2 linked regions of the Drosophila melanogaster genome follow. The protein of the gene in region 1 interacts with the protein of each later gene in a pairwise test. Each region holds a gene or a part of one and is shown in the gene's direction. Other genes may lie near its edges. The genes, in order: CG15764 and SdhBL.

What was found.
Region 2: the proteins of CG15764 (region 1) and SdhBL interact in a two-hybrid assay, tested with the Drosophila melanogaster proteins (one large-scale study listed by BioGRID).

What each region holds. Positions count from the first base shown.
Region 1 is NC_004354.4:5,867,100-5,870,947, forward strand, and holds CG15764 (uncharacterized protein), read left to right. Parts: upstream 1-1,995; 5' UTR 1,996-2,082; coding exon 2,083-2,964; 3' UTR 2,965-3,167; downstream 3,168-3,848.
Region 2 is NC_004354.4:18,892,400-18,897,122, forward strand, and holds SdhBL (succinate dehydrogenase, subunit B (iron-sulfur)-like), read left to right. Parts: upstream 1-2,046; 5' UTR 2,047-2,262; coding exon 2,263-2,494; intron 2,495-2,625; coding exon 2,626-3,499; intron 3,500-3,555; coding exon 3,556-3,763; 3' UTR 3,764-4,182; downstream 4,183-4,723. Other genes in the region: Flacc (Fl(2)d-associated complex component), read right to left, coding at 1-286, 360-1,053.

The sequences.
Region 1 (3,848 bases):
ACAATTGACAGAATCATTCAAATATGGATTGTTATACCTCGTTAAGTTTGTATTTAAATTCCCAATCGAACTGTGTCCAAAAATGGGAATTCTATTTTTTAGCCATTTTTTGTAAATTTTGATGATGTTACCCCTTCCGAAAATGCGAAAAATGACTCAAAAATTATTTTTTCTAAATTGGTCCAAAAGTGATACAGATGGTTAGCCTTCGTTATTAGCTGCTCAAAACAGTTATTTCTTTGGTTTTATGATCATTTTTAGTCAAGTTATGATGAAAACGCTCATCTAAAGTTGTTTAATTTTTGCCAAAATCATTTTTTTCGATTTTCCGTCATAAAATAGTCAGTTTTTTGGCCACAACTTTAAAAATAATTGTCTGAATACGGAATGTCATATCACGTTGAGTTCGTATTTAAATTCCCAATCGAACTGTGTCCAAAAATGGGAATTCCATTTTTTAGCCATTTTTTGTAAATTTTGATGATGTTACCCCTTACCGAAAATGCGAAAATTGGTCCAAAAATTAATTTTCCTAAATCGGTCAAAAAGTGATAGGGATGGTTAGCCTTCGTTATTAGCTGCTCAAAACAGTTATTCTTTTTGCTTTCTGATCACTTTTAGTCAAGTTATGATAACAATGCTCATCTAAAGTTGTTTAATTTTTGCAAAATAATTTTTTTCCATTTTCCGTCTAAGATCTCAGTGTATGTCTATAGTCTTTTGGATGCTTTTTTCTCGTACCTGTCTTTCTATGCGTTTGTTTTCCATTTCACCTGCCCAGTTTTTCGTACTCATCGTTGGCATTCCAAAAAAATGGAGTGCCACGTGACTCCTCGTTGTGGTGGTTTAGGGGGGGGGGGGGGAGGACTATATAGGTCGGGCGGATTGACGCCGCTTGTGCATTGTTTCGAGGGGGCGGACAAAGCACACAAATAACTGTCAAAGTTTCAATTCTTTTCGAAAGTAAAGCCCGGGTAAAAAAAAAAAAAAAAACAAGAAACCGAATCCGAATCCAAAAGCAAACAAAGGCAGAACAATGGTCGAGCAAATTGAAAGCTCTCGATTGGTATTCCTCTATTCCGGACTTGTTTTCCCACTTTTCACTTTTCATTAAAACAGAAGCAGCACGGAAGCGTTGAAAAAAAATCCGCAAAAAACAGCGAAACTAAAATTGAAGTCGCTCTACAAATGGATAAACTCAGTTTGGCAATGGATTTTATTTACAGATCTCATTCAAGGTTCAATTTATGAAACGATTAATAGTTAAAGCAATAAATTTTTTAAAGGGCCGTTCAAGTAGGTTCCATTATCCTTACATCCGCGATGAATGCATGGCTGTTCTGTCCAACCGACACGATAATGCACATACTCATACATATGTACATATATGTTGCACATCAATCCCCCTTTCGCCGACATGCAAAGTGCAACACCTCTCGTTCTTCGAACAATTTTAATTATTTCCACACGCAGCAGCGACGCACTCAGTAAGTCCATGGGCGGCAGAGGGAACCGGCAAAAGAGTGGTCGTTGGAGTGGGATGGTGGGGGGTGGGGGGGCGAACCCGACCGCAGGGAGTGTGTTGTTGGCTTTAACGGGGAATTAAGTCGGGCAACAGGAAGTCAGCGAGCACAATAATTAAGATGAGCGCTCGAGGGGCAATTATGTGACATCAACTTGCCAATTTTAAAACACCCCCGCCCCCCCGCAATCACGAACTCTCCGCATCCCTTTATCCTTCAGTCGAAGGATAATGCGAACGTTTTGGCCAACAGTGGGCTGTGTATAAAGATTTCTAACCATATATAAATATTCTTCGAACTGCATACTTTGCGACACATTCATACACTCAGAGAAAAAAACCTTTGTAAACTTGTAATCTTGGAGTTGGAGTTTTCCGAAACCAGTAGGCCCGTCTCCAACTGGCAACACTTCATTTCACCTAATTTGACAGGGACACACACAACACGTTTGCTCTACGGTTCGGTCGGTAGTACCAAATCTTATATACACTACATCTTCACAGTATAGCCATATATATATATTAATATTATCAAAATTTTCCACTAAACCTGCTTTGGAATGAGCACAGAACATCTGAATGACGCGGCGGAGTCCGTGAGTGCCCGGAGTTTGGCTTTGGATCGCGCTATCGTCAATTTGGTGCACCAGGCCCGTCGCCTCCATTTGAACAGCGTGAATGGCTATACATCTCTGGAGGCATCTCTGGAGAAGGCAGTGCCAGAGTTGCTCACGACTAGGAGTGATACCGCACACCCCACCACCACAGCGACCAGCTCGGCAAGGTCTTTCCCGAAGCGTAGGCCCAGTAGCCTAGCACCACGACCTGCGCCCAAGGCTTTCAAAATGCGCAAGACCGATACGCATCTGAGGACCCCACGTGTCGTCCAGTGTAAGACGGCCCGTATCCCGGTGACGCCACCACCACCGCCACCCTCGCCGCGTTGCCCAAAACCTGGGGAACTTAGTTCGGCCATGGACATGGCCGATCTGCTTCGGATCGAGATCGCCGAGACGGATGCACTGTTGGATCAAATGCTATTCGATGCCAAGGCACTCGAACGCCAGGTGGCGATCCAGTGTCAGTTGCAGAGCGATGCGGAAATGATCCGCAGCCTGGAGATGGAGTACAGTGGGCGATCCATGAGATATCTGATAGAGGCCATTCAGTCGGACTGCGAGAGCCAGGATGTCCAGGATCTCTGGAGCCGATGTCAACGCTCTTTGGAACGCCACGCGGAGCGACAGACGGAGCTGGAGTCCAAAGAGGGTCTGTATCTGGATCGGAATCCAGGCAAGGGCACCGGCAAGGGCACCCAAACCGATATGGCTGACTCTCAGGACGAGATGCTACCTATCTCGTCCAATTCGATTTGCCAATGGTTGCGAAGGGCGATGGGTTCTTTAAGCCAAGAGGATCAGGTGCAGGAGATGGCCATCTAGCGCAGGCCAGCCTTGAATAGTATTTGAATAAAGATACACAACTCTAAAATCACTTGTGTGCTCTGCTGTTTTAACGATGGCCCATAGAAATATTGAAAAGCTGCGATTAGACTAGAACTGCGAGGATTAATTAACTACTACTTGAAAAAGTATATATATTTGTTAACTGATTTATACAGTGATACAGCTCAGTGATTTGACCGAACTCATCTTACAATCTATCTATCCATTTAATAAAAAGATATTCGAAAATTTCTCATTTCTACATTTCGAGTGAAAGTACCACTGTGCCGCCGCAACTTTGTGTCTGCCTTTGAATGGTTGTGTGAGGAAAGTTTTCTTGTTAAGTTGCAGATTGAATGGCGCCGGTAAACACGGTGCGGCAAGTGCAGGGCTCCCAGCTTCGAGGACACCATGCATCCATGCCTCTGATTGAGCCAAATCCTGGCTCATAACTAATTGCCAGCAGCGACGACGATGGCGCTGGCAGCGGTGCAAAGTTTAAATTAAGTTGCGTGTCATAGTCGAAAAGTTTTCCACTTATTCAAAGAGGCACGTGCTCCACTGAGCACTACTCCACGGAGAAACTCCTGTCCTCCACTGGCCAATAACGCCAGCGAAGACGGAGGATTGACAAAAGAAATAATAACCAACGGATGGGAAATATATGCATTACTGCTTTACGTGCAAACAAAGTTGCAAATATAATGGAAAATCCATAAATCACAAGAAGCTACTGATAAAGTTAACCACTTAAGTAATTTAAAATGATAAGTTAACTGGGAATCAACATCGAAAATGCCGTGGTATATTTAATATTTTTTGGATTACATTTACACTTAGTTATTCCAACTAATAAATAGGCTTCTTTTATTTAGACATTT
Region 2 (4,723 bases), about 13 Mb from region 1:
CGTTCTTGGCAGCGAGCCAAGGCCTCAGCGCGCTCCTTATCCCTGGCTGCCTCCCGTTCCGCACGCTCGCGCTCCCGATCCCGACGATCTCGCTCCCGCAATGAGAGATCGTGGCGTTCGCGCTCTCTTTCTCGTTCTCGCTCGCGCTCCCTTTCCCGCTCCCGTTCCAGGGACGGAGTACGTCCACGTGCGCGGGTCTGGATGATGATCTTCTCTCGCGACATCAGTTGGTGATGCATTCGCGAGGATGAGCTGCTGCTGCCGCCTCCAAGACCAGAACCTAAACCTTAAAGTCAAGCAAAATTAATGGGTTAGTGGGTTGAGCCTAGACATAACTATATGTAGTATCTGATAGTTACCTGGACTCTTTTGCCGCTTACCCACGATGTCCTGATGGATGCGAATCTTGGTGGTGGTGGTAGTGCTGCTGCTCGGCGGACTCCTACTGCTGCCCAATCGATGATGGTCTCGCTCTCTGTCTCGTTGGACGACGCGCAGCTTGTCCCGCTCCCGTTGCTCCTTGCTGGCAGCCCGTAGCCTCTTTCGCTCGGCCAGCTTCTTTAGCTTGGCTCGCGTCGTCGGCGACAGGGAACGATGGACGTGACCACTGAGGGCGGCGGCCGCCCGTTTCTTAAGGCGCGCTTCCTTCAGTTTCCGTTTGATATGATTTCGCTTGGCCACCAGCTTCTTTTGCACATGATCCCGTTTGTCTCGCTTGCGGCGCGACGACGATGGTTCATCTCCGGACGAGCTGCCGCCGCGCCGTGAGCTCTTCTTTTTGCGATGATGACGCTCCGCGGAGCGCGGATGATGCCCATGGCCGTGGGTATGGGGATGACCGTGGACGCTGCCACTGCCGCCGGGACCACCGGCGCCACCAGGTACGCCCACCCCCACGCCGACGCCGCCCACGCCCTGCTCGCTGTCCGTGCTGCTGTACGAGCTGCTCCCGCTGTCGGAGTCCGAGGTGGAGTCCGAGCTGCTCGAGTGCGTCGCACTGTGACGGGCGGCCTTCTTGTAGCGGCGCAGCGACTCCTTGGCCTTCTTCTCCATCGCCGCGATCTCCGCTAGCCTGCGCGCCTCCGTTTTGGCTGCTTTCTTTTCGTACTCCGGTCGAAAATCAGCACGGCTATGCGGCTTATAACTAGTTGCAGCGTGTCTTGTGGTATAATGTCCTTGTTCGGAGGCGCGGACTTGCCTTGTTGTCTATTTTGTTGGCGTTTTCTTTAACTCTTCTTCTTCTCTATTTTCCTCTATATCTTCGTGTTTGTTGTTATCGATAGTCGATTGGCAGGGCATCGCGACCATCGATTACAGTCAGCACGGCGGTACATATCGATCGGTATAAGTTTGAAAATATTGTTTATTATTGTATCACATTATTATAATAAAATATAATTAAATAATTAAGTGCCTTTAACTATAAATAAATATTAATTTAACATTAAAAATATTATTAAAATTAATAATATTAATTAATACTTGTATTTATATTAATATATTGTATTTTTGTAACAATTTCTGCTTAAAATGAGTTCGGTTTTGGATTGAATTACAATTTCTATATCAATTTACCGGTTCAGCAACGGGGATTCAAATCTGACTTGTTATCCATTTTTATACCCGTTACTCGAAGAGTAAAAGGGTACCCTAAATTTGTTGAAAAGTATGTAGCAGTCAGAAGAAGGCGTTTCCGACCATGTACAGTATATATATTCTTGATCAGGAGTCGATCTAGTCATGTCCGTCTGTCCGCCATGTCCGTACCTAGAAGGTTGAGATCCAGCATACAGATTCTAGAGACAAAGACGTAGCGCAAGTTTGTTGATCTTTTTTCGCATTTTTATTAATCTTGTAAATTTCTATCGATTTGCCCAGAAAATGATAAAATTTCGCGTTCTCACATCCACTAGCTGAGTAACGGGTATCTTATAGTCGAGGAACTCTCTTTAGTTGATTTAAATTCCACGCATCCAAAACATTGTATAAAGCAGCCTGTTCTACTACTCAGTTAAACTGAACTTTTCATTTCGAAAAGATTTTCAAATCCAGCTGGCTATGCCTCTAGTGTCAAGTCGTATTACGGGCACTTCACCGGCTTCTCCTCAGTTTTGCTACACAGTTCGACACTTCAACACCTCAACACCTCAACACCTCATCGCCTCGGCACACATTCTCTCTCAACAAAAAAAAAAAAAAAACACATATATTTTTATAAGTACACATTTTAACTTAAAGTCTCATTCATTCGCTCGAAAACCGATGAATTTGTTGCGCCGGCAGCCTCGGCTGCTGAATAAACGGAGCACGTGGCTGTTTAGAAATTACGTGTTGGCCAACAGGGATGTGTCCGAACCCGTTTCCCGTCCTGCGGCGCCTATGTCCACCCTATCGATACCCGGACCAGCGCTGGCTGCCGCCACCCCAGTATCCGCCGTATCCCTGGTACCCCGGTGCACCCACTCCAGCCTCCAAGGAGGTGGACAAGGAGCAGGTTAGTTCTAAGTGAAAAGTTTTCTGATTCCACAATTTTCTGGGTTGTCAATGACTTTGTCATAATGACATTTCATAAATGACACCTGCACTTATTGATATGCTTAACTGAAATTTCTATATTCATTAAAGGAGGAAGAGGGCTCAGAGGATCAGCCACCGGAGGATCAGCCGCCGGAGGAATCGCCACAAAACGACAGTACTCCGGAGGAGCAGCCCCCGCCGGAGCCGCCAAGCCGGGAGGAGCAGCCCCCGCCGGAGCCGCCAAGCCCGGAGGAGCAGCCCCCGCCGGAGCCGCCAAGCCTGGAGGAGCAGCTGCCGCCGCCGCCGGATCCGCCAAGCCCGGAGGAGCGTCCACCGGAAAGCCAGCTTCGGGCAACGCACCAGCAACGCCTCCACCTCCACCACCTCCTCCGCCTGCTAAATCTGCACCCCCAGTGAAAGCGAAGAAGCCGCGATTGAAGACCTTCGAGATCTACCGCTGGAAGCCCGGGGATCAGCCGCAGACGCAGACCTACGAGGTGGACCTGGAGCAGTGCGGCGCCATGGTGCTGGATGCCCTGATCAAGATCAAGAACGAGATGGACCCCACGCTGACCTTTAGGCGCTCCTGTCGCGAGGGCATCTGCGGCTCCTGCGCGATGAACATCAATGGAACAAACACCTTGGCCTGCGTGTCGTCCATCGACCAGAATGAGAGCAAGTGCTGCCGCATCTATCCACTGCCGCACCTGTATGTGGTGCGGGATTTGGTGCCGGACATGAGCCAGTTCTACGATCAGTACCGCTCCATCCAGCCGTGGCTGCAGCGCAAGGATCTGAAGCGGGAAGCTGGAACGGCACAGTATCTGCAGTCCGTGGACGATCGTCTGGTGCTGGACGGGCTGTACGAGTGCATCCTGTGCGCCTGCTGCCAGACCTCCTGTCCATCATACTGGTGGAACAGCAATAAGTATCTGGGTCCCGCCGTCCTCATGCAGGCCTATCGCTGGGTCATTGATTCCAGGTGAGTGAGGCCATGTTGCTGCCAGTTTCCCCAGTGTGCTAAGATTTGCTTTGCAGGGACGAGGCCACCGAGCAGCGACTGGACTTTCTCAAGGACCCCTGGAAGCTATACCGCTGCCACTCGATCATGAACTGCACCAACACGTGCCCCAAGCACCTCAATCCGGCTAGAGCCATCATTCAGCTGAAGCAGCTGCTTGTGGGACTGAAGAAGAAGGGAAAACCACAACTCAAGACCGACGCCCTTTTCGCGGGAAAGGCGTAGGAGGACAACGAAATATCGACATAACGCCATGGGACTTAATAGATATAGATATAGATATACATATGTAGCTATAGTTATAGATATAGATATACATATGTAGCTATAGTTATAGATATAGATATACATATATAGATATACATATACATATACATATACACATATACAGATACATATACATATACATATACATATATAGATATAGATATAGATATAGATATAGATATAGATATAGATATAGATATAGATATAGATATAGATATAGATATAGATATAGTTATAGATATAGTAGGAATTAGGAATGCTATACTGTACACACTGGGCAATACACCGATACATCCTATTAACTACATTTTAACCAAGGACCTCATGGACTTTACGTTAGATAGGTGATAATAAAAGAAAATCGATGTGATTGAATCGAATATTCTGGGTAGACTTTCTAAAGAATGCTGCACAAGATCGTCTTCTATTAATTGATCAATTGAAAGACAATCTTTACAAATGCCATCATGGGTACAAAATAAAGAGATCATCGGGCAGATGGATTGCAGTTGGACAGATGAATCCAACTGATACCAAGAGCGCCTAGCATCTCCATTCCCCTCTTCGTAGATCCAGATCCCAATCCCTACCCCGATCCCGATCCCGATTCCGATTCCGTGTTTGTGTGCTATTTCTGCGCCGCTCGTTGCAATTAAGTGGGAAAATGCTGTTGCAATGTGGATGTTAATGCTCGTGTCTGCACCAGACGCATCCAAACAAATCACACATAAAGAATGGAATCGGATGAAATGAGCCACTTCCCACACTTGAAAAAATTACACGGTGTGCTTGAGCACGAAACTTTCTTAGTACATTATTTAAAGCAAACAAATTTATTGCCGTGCAGGCCAGGAGATTTGTTTTCCAATTGGCCTGGAGCAGGAGCAGGAGCAGGAGCATTGGAGGGCAGTGAATGAA